3 linked regions of the Rattus norvegicus genome follow. The protein of the gene in region 1 purifies or fractionates together with the protein of each later gene. This does not show direct contact. Links are inferred from orthologs where the notes say so. Each region holds a gene or a part of one and is shown on either strand. Other genes may lie near its edges.

Region 1 (3,556 bases):
CTAGGGACACACAGTTGACTTTGTAGGGGCTACTGGCAGCAGCAGGGAGTCAGATTCACACTAAGAAAGCTGTTGAGGTTTGGTCTGTTGCTATGTATTGTATTGTAATGCTAAATTCTGTATCCTAAGCTCTAGGCCTGTGAATGAATTCTCACAGTTACAGGCTTTTGTTGTGCAAACCTTGTTTCCTAGTTTAAAACTGTTGGTTAAATAAGATAGGTGGGTTTTGAGTTACCTGGTTGGAGGCGGAGAAGCTAGAGGCCAAGACTGAATGGGGAGAGGGGACACAGTACCAGAGAGGAGATGGGCTGTGGCACTAGCGCAGGCCTGGAGAAACACCAGGCATCTAGGGGACACCGCTGGGGTGGGGAGGTGGCCAGGCCAGCAGTTAGAGAAGCAGATTAAAGGTTGCCCCTCAGTAATTATCAAAGCCAAATAAAATAACCATAGTCCGAGTTACACGTGTTTGTAAGCTAGCCAGGGGCAAGATTAAAATTGGTTCTACTACAGAAAGGAGTGTGGTTTTAATGGAAGCCACTTTTTACATTCATGAGCCTATCTGAGTGTGTGCATGTCTGTCTGTGGGCGTGGAGGCGCTGCAGTAGCATGCGGTAGGAAGTCACAGGATGCTCTACACAGTCAGTTTCTTCTTCCACCTTCTGACCCAAGGCAGCAAGCTCTTCCCCAGCTGAGCCATTTCACCAGCCTAGGAAGTAATTGGTTGGTTTTTGTTTAAGGTAGGGTCTCATTAGGCAGCCCAGGTCAACCTTAAACTCAGGATCCTTCTGCCTCATCCTTAACATTCTGAGTTTATTAGCAAGGTGTGGACCTGTGCTCAGTTTGGGAGATTTTTGGAGGGTTTTTTTTTTGTTTGTTTTTTCTTTTTTTCTTTTTCTTGTTTTGAAATGAGCTGGAGAGAGCGATGGCTTGGTGGTTGAAAGCAGCTTCTTAGGTGACCACCACCACCTACTCTAGCTCCAGGGACCCTGACACTCTTTCTTCTCTGGCCTAAAAAGGCACCACACACATGTGGTACACAATCAACACAGACAAGCAGATACATGAAGCAGATGTCTTACTACATTTGTACATGGCAGGGCCATGAAGGATTTCCTTCATTTGTACCACATGGGTCTCAGGGACATAACTTGGGTCATCTGACCTGCTGAGCCATCTAAGAATATAACTGGTTTTGCACTCATGTTGTACACGTATGTTTTAATTCACCAGCTCTTCATAAACATACTGACAAAGAGATAACAAAGCTCAGTTATCTTCCTTCATGAGTAACATCTTCAGGAGCAGCTTCCTTGCTACCTTATGAAGATGGCATTGCACAAATGTGAGGACACTTAGGACAGGGATGGCGGCATAAAGCCTGCAGTTCCAGGGCTTGGAAGTAAAGGCAGCAGGGCTGGAAGCCCTGAATCACCCTAACTATACAGTGAGCTGGAGGGCAGCCTGGACTGTGGGACCCAGCCTCAAGAAACATACAGACTGCCTAGGAAGCGCAAGGCCCTGGGTTCGGTCCCCAGCTCCGAAAAAAAGAACAAAAAAAAAAAAAAGAAACATACAGAAACCAGACCCTGCTTTAAAAAAAAATCTATGGCTCTGCTGGAGAAATTCACAGCTAAGAACAGAACAGGAGACTCTAGAGGGAACAGAGTATTAGGTGAGGATCATTTTAGTTTAGTTTGTTTATATGGATTTTGTTTGAGACAAAATCTTCCTACATAGACCAGGCTAGCCTAAAACACACAGAGGCCCATTTGCCCCTTCCTCTTGTTGTTGGGATTAAAGGCTTGCGCCACCACAGCTGGTCCCTCATTTCGTATTCTAACATGATACACCTAAAACCACCTGCATTTACAGTAAGATTGCTGACCACTGGGCCACAGTGGGTAGTTGGAGCAGCAGGAGAAGACTGGCATTTGCTGAGGGTCTGCTAAGTACCTGCAAGGTGCTGTGTGCCTGTTTCTAACTGTACCACCGTGGTGGGTGCTGCTGCCCCAGTTTACCAGAGAAGACACTTGGAAGGGTAAAGGCAGTTCTTGAAGGCTGTGTGGTTTAATCACACATTGTCAGACCTCGGAAGTGATGCTGTGGGCACTGCCTGTGCATCTTTGTAGTTTCCTTTTCTCAAGCCAACAATTCTTTCTTTCAGTTTTAACCGCCTGGACCTCCCACCCTACAAGAGCTATGAGCAACTGAAGGAAAAGCTGTTATTTGCCATTGAAGAAACAGAAGGATTTGGACAAGAGTAATTGTTGAGACCTTAGGCCACCAGAGGCCAGGGACTCGTCTGCAGTGTCTGTCCCTTTCCTTCTCTGCCTGTTGCACATCTTATTGTAAACTTGGACTGTGACTAGAGAGTTATCTGAGAGTAAGTAAATTAATGTTATCGTTGAGATCTTCCAGTCATTCTGGATTTCTACTCAACGTTTCCAGAAAGCAGATCTACAAACAGTAGTCAGAAACTTAACATGAGATTTAACACAGCGATGAATTCTCCCTGTCTTACTCCACTAGATTGTTCCCTTAACAACAGTTTGCTGTTTGTCCGGAGTCTCACTTGGGCGCAGGTCTCTTAGTGGCTGTTGTAAAGGGCTTTGCAGGGACATCTCAGAAACTGCAGTACACAAGGTCTTCCTGGTAAAGCCTCTAGCTAAGAGGTGCAAGCTTAACCCAGCGTCTGGGCACACGAGCAGCTGCAGCTTGTGCTCTCCCGCTCTTCTCAGCCTGGCCTGACTGTTGTTTTTCATTCCTGAAGCATGACCAGTGCACCATCCTGCTGTTATTTCTGGAAGTGACGCAGGACTTGCATTTCTCTACAAAGTAGTTGTGTCTATTTGAATTCAGGGAAAACTTGGTCCCCGCCAACATATGACTTCATACCTCTCTTCATTCAGTTTGTAATTGTTTATTGCCTTGCACATATGAAACCATACTTACAGACAGTATCAGCACTGTGGCTCCCTCACGGTTTTTAGAAATTTATCTAGAATTAAAATAAGTTCAGATGAATTCATGTAAGATCATTCCTGATTTTTAAATTCTACACATAAATTAAAGCTTAATGGTGTTGATGTAATCCAACACCTTAGTTACATTTCATCCTTGCTAAAATATTCAAATTGCAACCATTTTCTAACACAGATGGAGGTCAGTTCAGTGGTGCAGTGTCTGCAGTCAGAACAGCATCCAGCAGCCACACAGCTGCGCTGTCTTCACACTCCACTCCTGACACAGCAGGAGCCGTTTCTACCTTCTTCAGGTCCTGATCCGCAATAGTTTTCTCACCTCTAAAAATTTTAGATCTCCCTTTTCTTTCCATGACTCATTTATCTTAGACTGCTCCTTTAGTAACTGATGAATGCACTTTGACCTTCTCTGTAGTTAATTCACCTTGGCTTAGCATTAGACTGTCAAGATGGCTGCCGCCATAGACATTATGGGCAATAGGATGAAACCTCAGCCAGTTGAGTCCCTTTTGTAGCCAAATCCCAAAATCAGCCTTATTATTCTAATAGGGACCTTGAAAGGTGTTGGTGGCATA
Region 2 (4,198 bases), on another chromosome or scaffold:
GCCAATAGAATAGATTTATTTAGCCTGAGAGAATGTCTGAACACTCAAGCAGACATACTGTGTTGCAGGCTGTCATCCAGCCTTAAGAATTAAATACTTTTAAACTTGTGTTTAAAAGAGAAAAGTTGTAACTTAACTCATCTTTACGTGCCATGGAAGAGAACCTATTGTAGGTTTTTGTTTTTAAGTACACGAGGCATCAGATTTTCCGTGTTCATTTAAAAACAAAACAAAAGCCAAACTACTCCCCACCCCACCCTCACCCCCACCACCCCGGACTTTGAAGTTTATTCCTGGGAGCAGTCTGAATGGAAGTGCCAGGTACTATTAAACACGGGTGGCTTTATGACTTAAAAGGTGTGCATGTAAACACCTGTGCATTGGTGATATATATCACATTCCGTGACATGATGTTCAACATAAATACAGTCTTCATGTGCAGAGCACACAGACAAACCTCCATTTCTCTTGTTTCACTGAGCAGGAGGACATTAGATTCCCTCACCTTTCCAATAAGTCAAGCTTTCAAATGCTACAACTGGCTGCAAACTGACACTGCTTTGGTTCTTACCTGGAAAAGAAGTTCACTATCACCATCTTACCTATGACACCTTAGACATCTAGGCATTCTAGTAGGGGAAACTTTTTGTGCAAAGGTGAATAATTGCTTTTTTGCCCTCAAAGCTCGATAAATATATTATACATTACCAAGGCAGATTAAGATTTTATTAGACCATTTCCTGAGAAGTTTGGGAGTCAGTGTTCTATCAGGTGATGCCAATTAGCTCCGGGTCAAAGCTAAAAGGATGTGACCCCTGCCAACTGCACAGGGCCGCCCTGGGCTCTTCCATTGTGAATGCTGAGTAGTGACTTCCAAGGTAACCTGGCCTTGCCACTATTGTTTCCACTCTGGTGCTGGGAAAGCACCCTGTTACCTCCCGGCAGAGCTGCAACGACAGAACCGGGAATTCTCCGTAGAAGCCATAGATACGGTTGCATTCCCGGGCGGTAACGTCCAGCGAGTGTCCTCTTCCCCGCTAGGACCTTTTCCCGTCGGGTCGCCCACAGCACCTCCTCCGGGCGTGGAGGAGGAGGAGAAGCACGCGGGACTCCTTCCTATTTAAAGGTCGCCAGGTCCCTCTGAGGGACCTGGGTCAACGACGCGTCCCTTGGCGCCACGGTTGGGGACAGACTCTGAGAACGGTTGGGCCGCTAGTTGCGGGGCCCCCGCCGTTCTCGGACACTTTTCCCGGGTGGACCCCAAGGCGACGGCGCACTTGTCACCGTGGGTGACCGAGAGGGGACCGCAGGGGGCGGGCCCCGCGGGGCAGGTGGGCGCGGCCGGCGCTGCCCGCCGCAGCAAGTGGTTGGGCCGTGCGCAGTCCGTCCTGCGCGGCGCCGGCGCGGGTGCCCGGTGCGCGGCGCCCTCCGCTCCGCTGCGCCGCCCGCCCGCCGCGCGCCCATGTCTCTGCCGGTGGTGCTCCCGGGCTCCTGCTGCCCGGTGGCGGGGCTGTCGGGCGGACCCCAGGCTGGGGGTCCTGGCGCCGCCGCCGCCGCCGCTCAGGAGCCGCCGCTGCCCCCACTGCGGCCGCGCTGGCCCCGGGGCGCTCTCCAGCCTCCAGCCCGTCCCCGCTGCGCCCCCGCCGCCGTGCTGGCCCCGCCGCCCGCGCTCGCGTCCCGCCGCCCCGCCGCGCCGGGCTCCGCGCTGCTACCGGCGCGCCCGCTGCTGTCGCTCGGGCTCCTGCAGCTGATCCTGGGCTGCTGCATGGTGGCGCTCAGCTTCGGGGCGCTGTCGCTGAGTAGCTCGCCGCAGGTGAAGAACTCGTGCCCATTCTGGGCAGGCTCCTCGGTGAGTACTGAGAGTTGCGGGGCAGTGTGTTGTGGAGGGTCCCTTCCATTGTTCTTGTTTGACCTCTTTTGGGGAGCGCAGACCCTAAAGCCACCTGAAATGTAGGCGACAATGAGTGGGGGTGGGGTGTGGGAGCTAAGAGTCGTGAAGCAGTCAAGTTGAAGGGGGAATTGGATTGCACTTGGGCAGTGTCTGTCCCTTGCACGCTAAGGATATTGTTTCCGCCAAGTTAACATTAAGCACAGTATCAGGCTCTTGGAGAGCTTGGCATGAGAATGGGCGTAGAAGAATTTAAAACTTTACTTTTGGCCACTGAATACTTTACAGCATTGGCAAAGTAAACTCCGAGAGGACCAGGGTTTTCCTCACCGATACACCAACAATACCCGTACAGGGTGGGGCACTTTTTAGAATGGACAGAGTGACAGATTGAAGAGGGGGAGGTGGTCGACTTGTTTTTATTCTTCATTTAGACACGAATGAATGAAAGAGTTTCTGGAGTTGGATGACTGAACCCTGAGGAGCTCTGAGGTAATAGGAGGTTGTGTGTGACTGATGGCTTGTACCTGGTCATTAAAGAAGGGCTCAAACCCTGGGTGGGTTCCTGGAGCCACCAAAACTGCTCTGCAGAAGTGGATGCTCAAGAAACAGAACCTGTCATTATGGACGCACACCCCAGGACTCCAGAAGTTGGGGCAGCTAGCTGGGATGTCTGCCCTACCGTGGCACCTGGCCCTGCCTCCTTGGCCAATGGGGCATAGGGAGGCTCGGCTGTCAGTGAGCAAGCATTTGTAGGCTGGATGGCTGCTCTTCCCCGCTTCCGAACTGTATCACAACTTTTAAGGCATCCAACCCCTTGAGGTTTGCCAAGGGCGCTGGAGACTTGGAACAGGTCCTTGTGCCAGGCCTGTGGAGGATGAATACAGCAAATGACCTTTCTATAAAATCCCTACGACGCCTATAGCTCTTTCTGTGATCTGCAGGGAGTGCCCGTTTTGTGCTCTACTGGTTAGAACACAGTCAGAGTCAAGTTTAAAAAAAAAAAAAGTGGGAGAACATATTGAACCTCGAGTAATTGTTCAATTAATTGTTCGAATGAGGACATTGGGAACATGAGGTTTCTCTGACCTAACCCAGAATGTTGCATTACCTGTTATCAATCTATACTTCTAAAGTCCTTTGCTAAAATGCTTCTGATGGGGCCCCAGTTTTCTGTGCTCTAGTGAGTGAAGTCCAGAACTTAAGTATTAGGTGGACAGAGTTCCACCCTGTAGTTCTGACCCTGGACTCCGATACTATCTTTGTGAGCGCTGGAATACTTTGAAGTGTGGGAAGTCTATTGAATAGGAATCAGAGTACTGCCTCCCCCACCCTTTGCCAGGCTGGTCATAGAAATGCTTGCTACACTTCTTTCTTCTAAGTACCCTGGGCCAGAGTCTTGTGTGTGTTTTATGGATTTACTCTTTGTAAAATCATGATCCTTTGTTCGCTCAAGATAGCTAGTTTATTAAGAAATATTTGTGGGAGGTGCTAGGGAGATTGCCCAGTCAGTAAAATGTGTGCCGTGTAAACATGGGGACTTGGGTGTGGATTTTTGGAACCAACCCAAAAAGCTGGGTATTGGGAGAGGGGAGCCTGAACCCCAGTGCCTGGAGTGGGGTCGGAAGAAGATGGATACAGTGAATCTTTGAAGTTCATTGGGCATTAAGGCTAGCCAAATGGGTGAGACACCCAGTCTCTAAAAATAAGATAAGATGAGGAGTGTACCCAGTGTGTTCTCTGCCACCACACACATGCAGACATACTAACAAGTACTCACACTATACACATAACCTGTACACACACACACACACACACACACACACACACACACACACTCGAACACACATTGTATTTGCTTTCCTCTAAAATTAAAATCTGAAATCAGTTTGCAATTATGAATTCTTTCAAAGGTAAGTAAAGGCTCTTAGCTTCATTGAAGCCACAATGGGATTTGACAAGAAGGAAAACAAAGCTCACAGACCGGAATGTGCGGGATGGTAAACTGGAATGCACAGGATGGTACCTGGGCTTGCCACTGGCTGGGCTTGTCCTCAGGCACAAGCAAATCGGACTAAGAAGGAATCTAGGGTTTGGAGTTGAAAGGGTCGTGCTCGCTTCGGCAGCACATATACTAAAATTGGAACGATACAGAGAAGATTAGCATGGCCCCTGTGCAAGGATGACACGCAAATTCGTGAAGCGTTCCATATTTTTATTTGTATCAAAAATAAATAAGTGACCATGTGCCAAAAAAAAAAAAAAGAAAGAAAGAAAGAAAGAAAGAAAGAAAGGATCGCTTCTCTAAGC
Region 3 (4,308 bases), on another chromosome or scaffold:
AGCCCAGGGATTTCTCTACTGAAAGGTCTGCCAGTGTCCCCTCTCCCTTCCTTATTCCCTGCCACCAACTTAGAATCCAAGAATGCAAGGGGCCAGCTGGGGACCGTGCTCTCATTCCCCTGTGCCCAAGGCAAGCCGGAAGCCTGACGCATCAGAGCACAGACCTGTTGGCCAGGTAGAATCTTCCTGTAATTGTACCCTACAGTTCCACGAAGCGTGGCCCCATCTCGGGCGTCAATGGCCCAATTTAATCCTCCCCACAGGGGCCAAGTGCACAAATAGCTCTCAACGTACAGAGATGTCACCCATGGCTGGCTCCAGATGACGTTAACACAAGTGACTGGTACATCTGGTGGTGGCTTCTCTTTTTCTACCCAGATGTTTGAGGTCCTGTTGGCACACCTGTCACCCAGCTGCTGCGCCAAAGGAAAGCCCCCTAGCCCTTTTCTTGTGGGAAGAAAAAAGGGGATCTGGCCAAGGGGGGCAGGAAGACCATCTGTGTGTGTACCCTAACCCAGTCCCTGGGATGGGTATCTCCCTTCCAGGTTTCTCTGATCTTACACCCCCACCCCGTGGCTCGAGAACGTCCCACGGCTCTGAATGACTCCCATACCAAGCAGTGGGTTTTGCAGACTGCACAATCATGGCTCACGTCTAGGGACTTGAACGGTGGCTAGGAGGTGACCTGCTCATCCAATGCAAAGAATGGCCCAGCCCTAAATAACACTGGAGCACCAGGAAAGGCTCAAAGGCTCAACTTTACACAAAGCGCTCCTCACTTCCTCCTCCCCAACCCTCTCAGTCGGCTCCGGAACCAGGCACATCTCACCTCCTCACACCCACCAGCTCCTCATCCACACTCCCCCTCCCACACTGCAGCATCCCCACCCGTGATCACTTGACCCACAGTCTCCTGGGTCTCTATGGAAACAGGACACCACTGATGCGTCCACAGCTGAGGTGCTTGGACCACACCAATAAGACGAGAGGCCACAACAGTTGCATGATACGGCCTGCCTGGTTTATTTACTTTTTAATATATTTACGACATTCTGAGATGCCAGACAATTGGAGAGAAAGCGCTTCTCTGAAAGGCAGGGACGGGGCCACCAGAGCAGATGGACCAAGGGTCCCAGCAACTACAAGACCCTCCACCCCACTGAAGCCACTTAGTGACCACCCCTCCCAGCATACTGCAAATACCTGCGTTCAAAACTCCCATCCTCGGCCCCTAGTCCCCACTTTAGATAAGGAAGCAAGTCCCAAGTAGGGTTTTCCCAGGAGCTCAAACAGCTGGCTCGAACAGAGGTGGCATCAGGACCCTCATCACATGCTTCCCAGAATGCTGTGCCATCTCAGAGATGACAATCCGAAAGACTCGATGCCAAGACAGAGTGCTACCGCCCCTCAAAGCTCCTGTCCTGGCTGAGGCTGTGGGACAAACTCTGAGCTCCTCACCCCCAAGCCAGGTCCTAGATCACTGGTTCTCAGCCTGTGGGTCGCGACCCTTTTGGTGACTATCTCTAAAGATATATTTACGTTACGATTCCTAACAGTAGTAAAATTACCGTTATGAAGTAGCAATGAAAATGATGTTATGGTTGAAGGGGGTCACCACAGCATGAGGAACTGTACTAAAGGGTTGCAGCGTTAGGAAGGTTGAGAACCCCTGCTCAAGGTGGACCGGTGGGTCAGGACACACTCATGAAAAGTCAGGGTGGGGGCATGTTGCACACGTCCCTCGCAAGTTATAGTTATCAACTTCACCCACACAGACACCTAACATGCAGCTCTCTTATCGTCCCATCTTTGTTTTTGATCTAAAGAAACAGGCTCAGAGAGGTTAAACAAGTCATCTGATACTGCACAGCAAAGACTGGGAATGATGGGGGGGCGGGCAGAGAGGCACCCAGAAGGGCTTAAGGACAGAACTGGTTTGTACCACCGCCTGGTCACACTGCCTGTGGCCGGAAGCAGATGTCACCAGGCCCTGTGCAGCAGCCTACTGATTTGGGTTGATTTTGAGGAAGCTCTTCCAGGCCCAGGAGAGCTGTTAGCCACAGGTTCTGTCTGAGTCACTGAAGCCAGAAAATGTTTGGGCCTCAGGGAGCTAACTGTGGCCTGGGGCGGGGGCCAGGGGTAAATCCCAGCAGAAGAGAACAGAGACTCCAACCCTCGGCCACTCCAAAGGGAGAGCCTTATCCCTGGGGACTAACACTAGACCTGGGGTCACACTGTGACAGTGACAGCCACTGCGACATGCTGGCGGCCCCCAAGCAGTTCCCCAAACACAGAGCTTAAGTTATCCTTGAAGGGAGAAGGCGGTGGCTTGGCTGAGCTGTGAGCTGAGAGGAAAGTTTCCCTGGTCCCCACTAGAAGTCCAAAAGTGTAACCCTAGACAGAGCCCAGGCTAGGATAGGACCCAGAAAGCCCTACACCCAGGTGTGTGTGTGGCCTGGAGCCCTGGAACAATCCCAAGCTGCACTCCTCCCCGTTGCCAGCCTACTCTCCCCTTCGCACACTACAACCTTAAGGACACTCTTCCGCTCAACTCCATAGGGAAATACTGAGGCACCCAGTAGCACACAGCTTGTCCAGGGTCCCACAGACAAGTAATAGATAGCCATCCCCCAGTTGGAAGATCCCAGTACGTCCTCACGCACGCACACACACACACACACACACACACACACACACACACACACCAGACACCCCAATACTCACTATATGGTAGATGGCCAGGGCTACGGTGGCAACTCGGACATTGAAACAACAGCATGTCTGCCTGACTGGCACTGCACGGGAGGCCATGGTGCACGGTCCCCTCTTCCGAGGCTCTGAGTAAGGAGTCTTGGGCCCACAGCAGGGCAAGAAAGAGGAAGCCGCGGGCTGTCCGCCTCACTTCCGCCTTGCCCTCAGATGGTAGGGGCCAGGTCTGTAAGTCTGGGATGTAGCAGCTGCAGTGGGGAGGGAAGAGGGTTTGTCACAGTTGACATCAGGGAGCCCGAGTGGGGCTCCAATGCTTCACCAGGGCCGGGCTATGCATTTATACGCACTCCGCTTCCTGGATGCTGAATACCACCCCTAGAAGCCCTTTTCTAGAAGAAGAATCAGATAAAACAGTAATTCTAATGGCAGGATTCAAACCCAGATCTGCCTGGTTGTAAAAACAGCAGCTGTCAGTAAACTGCTTCCTTGAGACCCTAGGGGCTTAGTCCCTCTGCTCCTCACCTGGGCTGTTCCAAGAAGGAACTGTTCTTCGGTTTTGGTTTGGTTTGGTTTCTCTGTGTAGCCCTGGCTGTCCTAGAACTCACTCTGTAGAGCAGGCTGGACTGGAACTTTTAGAGATCTGCCTGCCTCTCCCTAACAAAGGCATATGCTACCACTTTCCAGGAAGAGGTGCTACTCTTATCCCCATTTCTACAGATGGAAAAACTGAGGCACAGGATGATGTCATTCCTCGCCTGCAGTCTCAAAAGGAGTGGGGACTGGAACGGAGGCCAACTGACTCCAGAGCAGTAATTCTCAACCTGCGGGTCATAACCTGCCTTTCACGGAGGTCACACATCAGATATGATGGATATCAGACATGTACATTACACCTCATAACAGCAAAATCACAGTTATGAAGTAGCAACAAAAATAAATTTATAGTTTGGAGTCACCGCAACGCGAAGAACTGTATTAAAGGGTGGCAGCATCAGGAAGGTTGAGAAACGCTGCCCTAGGGGCTCTCCCTGAAGCCAAGCTTCTCACACAGCTCCACCTCCTCGTTCTGAGCTCTGAAGGAGAGAACTGTCGCTGTGAGAAGCCATAGGCATGAGTATGGACCAGGCCCTGTAATAGGCTCTTTCTCTTACAGTCTATAACCTCTGGAGGTGATCTGGGAGACCCTTGGCCAAACCCACTTTGTGGGGTCACCTGAAACAGAAAACTGGGATTGCGCATTCTTTCTCACTCCCTAGGAAATGTTGGCATTAGTAAGCTTGAAACTTTTCCCTGGTGTCTCGGGGGATAAATCACCCACACTGCAATAAAGAAGGGACAAGGTGCCCTTGCTTCAGACCTGGGGGAGCCCCAAGCAGACAGAAAGGCAGGAACCGCTAAGCCCCGCCTCCTGTGACACCGTGGAGTTCGGATTGGACACCACAGCTGCTCATCATTTTTTGCCAGGGGAGAGATTATAAACGGCCCTCAGCATCCTTGTCCTGAAAAGGGTTGTTCTGGCAGGACAACAAAATCAGGCATGTTGAGCTCTGGGGAGATAGCTTACTCGATAAAGTATTTGCCGAGCAAGCTTGAGGACCG

The links. The genes of interacting proteins can lie anywhere in the genome.
Region 2: the proteins of Itch (region 1) and Entrep1 purify together in Homo sapiens (co-immunoprecipitation; 3 studies listed by BioGRID and IntAct, counting the BioPlex papers as one, with this or other methods). This does not show direct contact. The link is inferred for Rattus norvegicus from reciprocal best matches to the Homo sapiens genes ITCH and ENTREP1.
Region 3: the proteins of Itch (region 1) and Laptm5 purify together in Homo sapiens (affinity purification with western blotting; 3 studies listed by BioGRID and IntAct, with this or other methods). This does not show direct contact. The link is inferred for Rattus norvegicus from reciprocal best matches to the Homo sapiens genes ITCH and LAPTM5.

The regions. Positions count from the first base shown.
Region 1 is NC_086021.1:164,189,281-164,192,836, forward strand, and holds part of Itch (E3 ubiquitin-protein ligase Itchy homolog), read left to right. Parts: intron 1-2,164; coding exon 2,165-2,264; 3' UTR 2,265-3,556. UniProt on the Homo sapiens protein: Acts as an Acts as an E3 ubiquitin-protein ligase which accepts ubiquitin from an E2 ubiquitin-conjugating enzyme in the form of a thioester and then directly transfers the ubiquitin to targeted substrates.
Region 2 is NC_086019.1:231,069,993-231,074,190, reverse strand, and holds the start of Entrep1 (endosomal transmembrane epsin interactor 1), read left to right. Parts: upstream 1-1,380; 5' UTR 1,381-1,462; coding exon 1,463-1,849; intron 1,850-3,998; exon of another isoform or gene 3,999-4,105; intron 4,106-4,198. UniProt on the Homo sapiens protein: Functions as an activator of the E3 ubiquitin protein ligase ITCH in the ubiquitination of the CXCL12-activated CXCR4 receptor. Thereby, triggers CXCR4 endocytosis and desensitization, negatively regulating the CXCL12/CXCR4 signaling pathway.
Region 3 is NC_086023.1:148,370,390-148,374,697, reverse strand, and holds the start of Laptm5 (lysosomal-associated transmembrane protein 5), read right to left. Parts: upstream 2,819-4,308; 5' UTR 2,812-2,818; coding exon 2,725-2,811; intron 1-2,724. UniProt on the Homo sapiens protein: May have a special functional role during embryogenesis and in adult hematopoietic cells.